Linked DNA regions of Kluyveromyces lactis. The protein of the gene in region 1 interacts with the protein of each later gene in a pairwise test. Links are inferred from orthologs where the notes say so. Each region holds a gene or a part of one and is shown on either strand. Other genes may lie near its edges.

The links.
Region 2: the proteins of SRP1 (region 1) and SHE2 interact in a two-hybrid assay, tested with the Saccharomyces cerevisiae proteins (3 studies listed by BioGRID). The link is inferred for Kluyveromyces lactis from reciprocal best matches to the Saccharomyces cerevisiae genes SRP1 and SHE2.

What each region holds. Positions count from the first base shown.
Region 1 is NC_006040.1:729,341-733,548, forward strand, and holds SRP1 (karyopherin alpha), read right to left. Parts: upstream 2,466-4,208; coding exon 849-2,465; downstream 1-848. Other genes in the region: KAR1 (Kar1p), read right to left, coding at 1-360; KLLA0_D08624g (uncharacterized protein), read right to left, coding at 4,042-4,208. UniProt on the Saccharomyces cerevisiae protein: Functions in nuclear protein import as an adapter protein for importin beta nuclear receptors. Binds specifically and directly to substrates containing either a simple or bipartite NLS motif. Promotes docking of import substrates to the nuclear envelope.
Region 2 is NC_006038.1:1,092,421-1,095,158, forward strand, and holds SHE2 (She2p), read right to left. Parts: upstream 1,563-2,738; coding exon 837-1,562; downstream 1-836. Other genes in the region: EUC1 (Euc1p), read left to right, coding at 1-738; HFD1 (hexadecenal dehydrogenase), read left to right, coding at 1,819-2,738. UniProt on the Saccharomyces cerevisiae protein: RNA-binding protein that binds specific mRNAs including the ASH1 mRNA, coding for a repressor of the HO endonuclease. Part of the mRNA localization machinery that restricts accumulation of certain proteins to the bud and in the daughter cell.

The sequences.
Region 1 (4,208 bases):
TCGTTTTGGAAATGTATTTGACTTCTTTGGGGTATTATGCTGGGACAGTTGTACAATGCTTTGTTTAGATCGCAGCTTCGGCATAAACTGTGGGTTAACTTCATCATCAAACGTTTCGCTGGAGCTTACAGACCCCGGAGTAGTAACATTACTCGATGATTTGTACTTCACAGTATCTTCCTCCTCAGAAATATTTAAAGGCCCGCATATATCTTGCAAAACACTTGTGCTATTGTTCGAAACAACTGATACCTCATCTTTAATCTTCGCGTCAAACATTTTGTTGATCCGTTTTATTCGTGAGTCACTAATCTTTCTCTGGGGAGACCGCAGATTGAGAAATTCAGGCATTGAACTCATATTATCGCATCAGCGTAATATTCAACTCCGAGCTTTGAAGTAGCACATATGCATTGGATATTTCCTTTTCGTGTGATTATAGGCGATGTTTCACCGAGGAAATTTCGATTGTGTATTTTTAAAGGTTTACAAAAATCCAAACCTTTAAATGTTGATATTATGCATCGGAACATGTAGAGGTAACACCGAAAGTGATATGCACCTAACTGGTCACCTAATTTCTATGACAGAGAGAAGGTCCATGATACTGTTTTTTGAGCACAGTTTTTACTTTTATCGTGGTTCAAAACTGCAAATAAGACTTGGGCCCTTTAATGACATAGAATTCTGTTTCACAATGAAGGGAGAAGTGTAGATTAATAATACTATAGATAGATTACATTAATGCAAAAATTATATGATATTTAACAGGCGCGTAGTATTCATTTATTGTCTAGAATAAAAAAAGCAAATGTAATTACATGACACACGCACAGCTAGAGTTGGTTTTAATTGAAGTTGAATTGCTGGTTGACATTTGATCCAAATCCAAAAGTGTTACCAGCTGTTTGTGGAGCCATAGATTCATCAACAACATCATCTTCATCACTAAAGTACTTTTCAATGATCTTGAAGGCCTTTTCGTAAATTTTTTCGTTAGCATTAGACTGTAAATTGAAGATCTTTTCCATACCACCAGCTTTCTCAATGAAATCAGCATTTTCGTTCACGGCAATACCTCTGACTTCTCTATCCATTTCACCCATCTTCAAAATATTTTCTATAGCATCTAGTGTAACCTCTATGATTCTGTTATCAGCAATCTCTAATAGATCGCACAATGGTTTTATACAGCCTTGACTGACCAAATATCTGATAATTTCTGGCTTGTGTAACCCACCAGAAGAGGCATTCGAGATGGCCCAACATGCTTCTTTCTTTGTCTTATATTCTGCAGTTTCCAACAATCTGATTAATGGTGGAATTAAGTTAGCATCAATAACGGCTTGAATCTGTTCCGTATTACCAGCGGTTATATTAGAGATGGTCCAACAAGCTTCCTTTCTTATGGATTCCTTTGGAGAAGCCAATAGATTTCTTAGAGCTGCCAAGGCTCCACAGTTGATAACGATCTGAGTTTGCAAATCGTTACCTGTGACAATGTTACCTACAGCTCTTAGAGCAGGGGTTTGCACTAACGTAGATTGGTGGGATAGTAGTTCTACAAGTCTCTTTGGGATTCTAGCATCTACTACCGCTTGGATCGAATTAACCGGGCCATCGGAAAGATATGAGATAGCCCAACAAGCATCGACTAACGTTTCAGTATCCATGGAGTAGATTAGCTTAGACAAAGTTGGCAAAGCTTGAGACACGATAGACCAATCTGGTTGAGGTTTCTTACCACGACACAAGTTAGATAAAGTCCACGTAGCTGTTCTAATCAAGGAAGTCTTGTTCAATTCGAACAAATATAGAATTGGTTGCATGGCACCACATTGCAAAACGTAGTCTCTATAATCGGTGGAATCACCAGCAACGTTACCCAAGGCCCAAATAGCTTGTTCCTTCACTTCAACCGAGTTTGAATATAATAATTGAATGAATAATGGCACAGCACCCGCATCTACGACGACTCTAGTCTGCTCAGAAGTACCAGAAGCAATGTTCGTCAACGCCCAAGCAGCTTCCAATTGCAACATCTCAGGTTGATTTTCGCTCATGAATTGGACCAAGGTTGGCACTACGCCAGTACTGATAACCAAATCGATAGGTGGTCTGTGTTCTCTAGACAAGACTTGTCTAAACTTGACCGTCACAGCCAACTGTTGTTGTAGATCGTTAGAATGGATTTGTTCCAACATAGCAGGCAACTCCTGTTGTAATTGTCTGTAGAAAGAGGAGTCCTGATCGTCATCATCATCATTTTCATCATCAGAATCGTTACCAACAGGCGCATTGAAATTTCTTCTTTTTGCTAATGCCTCATCCCTCTTGACTTTTCTCAACTCGACTTGTTGAACGTCTCTACGACGACGTAATTCATCAGCAGAGAATCTACCCTTATTCTTGAAGTTTGTCCTCCTGTATTCAGGAACAAACTTGCTGGAAGTGTCACCGTCCATCTTTCACTTATAAAATAATAAAACGGATACCTGCTATCTGATCCTTCGTGCTAGCCGCGAACCAAAGAAAATTCAGAGAAGTAAAAAAAAAGATTGTAACTAATTCCTTTCTACCAAACTCACAATCACAATTGATCGTCCCGTCTTTTCAAGTAGATATTTTTGCAAATGGGTTCCAAATCAAACAAAAATAAAGAGAAGTTGGATTTAAAGAAGAAATTATCAGTCGCAAAATCAATCTCTAACAATCACAAATAGCGTTTCCCCTTGAGTAAATGAAAATCTGATTCGTTTCTTTGTATTGCTTGACAGAAAAATATATCGGAAGCCAAGAGCACCGTATTGTTTTATATATGTAACAGTGTAATTGAAGTAGAATGCAAACCAATCTTTTATTCAATCCCATATAATATCCATCTTGATTAAAATCCTTCTTTTTTGGCCATCCAAAAAATTCGAATTTTTTTTTTTGGTTGAAATTTCTTTGCCAGATAGTCGTGATGTACGGAGTTGTCACGTGACATACCAACCTCGTGTAAGAAAACGACAAAGGTTCTAACATCAAAAGACAGGAAAAGATGGGCAGGGTCAATTTGACACACTTTTCAACACATATTAAGAGATGTATATACGTATACATAATATATTTGGGATGGTTGGTAATATAAATATATCACCGGGGATTCCTTGTTTTCGTTCCTCATTCATTCTCATGATACACACACACTAAAGTATACATGAGGGTAAGTTGATGAGAGTAGAAGCGAAAGAATTGTGATACAATCAACTAGCATAAGTTCCTTTTTCTATTTCCCCCTTTAGTAAGCATCAAAAATACATTCACTGGGTATTGGAGATGGATGGAATGATTTGAGGGAGAGAAAAAGGAATGGACAAAACCGCTCAGTTGATGTTTTATTGACATGTTCTCTCTAGCAGCATTTTGAAAATGTCCCTCACAAATAAATGAGTGCTCGAATGAACAGGCGGGAAAGATTCAGAATTCAACGCCAAGAAAGAAACACGGTTCACCTACTGCACTCCATTCCTTTTTGTTATATATATACTCCAAATATCGACGATTATGAATTTTCACAACACACACACTGCTGTACGGTTCATAAACGTCAATTTTTTTTCATTCATGAAATGGAATAATTTTCAAATTAGGACACAGATAGATGAGATTGAGTAGTATATACTGTGTTAATTTAACACAATACACTTACACTCAAAACAAAAAATTTGTTAGCACGCGACACGACACACGACACACATTCACGACACGCAGCAACGACATAGGTAAGGTAGTAGAATAATATAGGTAATTCATGGAATCAAACAACCAAGTAAAAAAAAAACGAAATAAAAAAGAACAATCAAATCATTTCCTATGCATCCAGTGTTGGATGTAAGCGAACAGGGTTGACGAAGATTGATAAAAGTGAGGTGAAAGAAAATCCTTAAGTTTTTGTGATATAGTTTGATAGCAACGACAGTTAACGAAAATAAAAGAAGAGGGCCAACTTTTCGAGTATCTTTTTTCTTGGCATTTCGTTAACAATTGGAAGTTGACTTATAACAAGTAGGCAGCGATACCAGCAACCAAGAAAGAGCTGGAAAATTTAACCAAGTCAGCATCGTTAGCAGTTTCAGCTTCCCTGTTGTTAGTCTTATCGAATCTACCGTATCTGTGAGTACCGGTAGATGTAGGGGAAGAAGAAGGAGCTGTCTTGTTGAATC
Region 2 (2,738 bases), on another chromosome or scaffold:
GATTCTATGAGTTATAACAGAGACAAACGGATTCTCGAGGGGAACATCAAGCGTGAGGTACAAGATCCATGGTCTGTGCTTCCTGAACAAGATTTAGAATCAGCAGTTGCCAGCCTGCATGGCAGCAATGAGAATGATATGAGTCAAAGTGCTGGTACTGGTACTGGAACTGTAGGAGTTGCCAGCAGTGCCAGTGGCTCAATCGGGTCTGTTCCACCGCAGTTGGCAGACAGTAACAATGCTCATGGTAGTAATGGATTCATTCAACGGTATCGTATGAACAGAGCCATCAAGACTGTAACTGACCTTGCAAGGGAGTACTACGAGGGATTACCGGGTCAGCCATCCGTGATGGCTCTTGAAAGAAGGTTCGGATCTACTTGGAGAAGCAGTGCAGGTGAAAGAACGTTCTTCCATAAGAGGTACGTAATAATACAAAGGATAGAAACGATTCTTCGTGAACCTTCGAGGTTTAACCTCCCGCTTGACATCACCAGAAGGAAAGCTGTACGCGTTATTGAAAACTTACGCGTGGGTAACAACAGATATAACAACGGATCGCCCTGCTGTATGACCTTAGCACAACTTTACCTCTATTTCTCTAAGTATATGGATTCATATGACGATTATTCGTTATCATTGAAGAACAAAGACGCTCCAAGTATTCGAGAAATCAAAAGCAGGCAGAAGAAGAAGACTCCATCCCAGTTGGCAGAAGAACATTCCATCATGACATGAGACCTGTATGACGAACTGTATGTAACTTTTTAATTTGATATTCTATATTCTATATATATATATATACAAATATGTGCGAACGTGTAGGATACCCTCACCTACTTCTTGACCGGTTTAGTCATTGAAGCCCATCTCTTTGAGTCCTCTGAGAACAACTCCTTCATTTCTGTTTGTTTCTGCACCAGGATCGCAGACCAATCATGCAACAGGTCAACGTATTCTTCCTCTACTTCCACAATGGCAACGTCTTGCAGTAAGATATCTTCGCTAGCAGTGAAATCCACCTCATCTTCAATGGCACATTTTCTAGTGAATTCAATCAACTCTAGTGCCAGGTGAGGACAGTTGCCATTCCTTTCACTGATCGATTCTACTAACCATTGAATTCCCTTGATATATATCCTGTAGCTGTCATTGATACAAACAATGGTCTCCTCACTAACGACCAAATCCTCATTCAAAGTCTTAGAGATCGTTTCGCCTCTCATCGGCTGTGTAATGTAGAAGTTCAACAGGTCTAATATTTCAAACACTTTGATTAAATATGCTCCCAATGGATCGATCACTTCGTTTAACCGTTTTCCAATAAGATCATTCTCACCTTCAAACGACCAGCTGTGTAAAACATCAGCCATGAACCGTAGTTTCTTAACGTACTTGATCAATGTCATCCTTTCGAAACGTAGCGTGCTCACACGACGCTGGACTGCGATAAGGTTGTTCAAATAGTCCACATATCTTGATATATAATTTGAATATGTGGAAACCAATTGTAACACAGCATCCAGAATCTCTTTCGAGATAACCACTTGACAGTAAGCCATGATAACTTGTCAAACTAAACCAATTGAGCAGTTAGTGGGCCCTTTAAACGGTTTTTAAATGCTTTTTCTTCATGCCCATCGCTGGTCTTCACCGGATAACATTAAAACCGAAAAGCCTTAATATTTAAAGAACCTAAGAATATTGGAGAAGTAAACCTTTAAATACCGAAACACAATACACAAATGTCAGTTAAGAGTTTAGTTTACTTTGAAGTTGGTAGTTGTTACATCAGTTGAGACAAACAACCAGTGCAACATGTCCAAGTTTAAATTTACAGATTTGAAGTCGATTCCTGGCAAGATTGAGCTTGCTAAGCAGTTTTACAGGTCTCGACAAGCCAGGTTAGCCCAAAGCAAGTCCCCTAGGGCTACTGATATCAATGAGAGGATCAGGAGTTTGCAGAAGCTTTACTGGGCAGTGAAGGATAATGAGGAACGTCTTATTGCAGCAGCAAGTAAGGATTTCCATAGGGCAAGAAGTGAAACGCTTACTATTGAATTAGTCCCCTTGTACAACAATATCCTTTATTTGATTAAAAACATGAAGAAAGAGATCGAACCAAAGAAGATTAAGGTTAGTTTACTTGCACATTGGTTCGGTACGACTTTCGTGGAAAAGATCGCATTGGGGACCGTTCTTGTCATTTCTCCGTTTAATTTCCCCATATTATTGGCATTGGATCCATTAGCTGGAGCCATCGCCGGTGGTAATTCCGTGGTGTTCAAACCTAGTGAATTGACACCAGCATGTGCTGAAGTAATGGAAGAGATATGTAATGAGGCGTTTGAAAAGGGTCAAGTGGAGACGGTGCAAGGTGGCGCTGAAGAAACAAGTGCTTTAGTCGAATCCGGTAAATTCGATAAGATATTTTACACTGGATCTACGACCGTTGGGACAATCATAGCAGAGAAGGCTGCTAAGAGTCTAACACCATGTGTATTAGAACTTGGTGGGAAGTCTCCAGTGTTTATATCCCCCAACTTGCCTAAATCACAATGGGAGACTGCAATAAGAAGAATTTATTACAGTTCTATGGGGAACGCAGGTCAGATTTGTGTCGCCGCAGATTATGTCCTATGCCCTGACTCGATCTACGATGAGTTTGTTGATTCTTGCAAGAAAGTATTGAATGAGTTTTACCCTTCTGTCACCTCTGACACTGAATATACTCACAT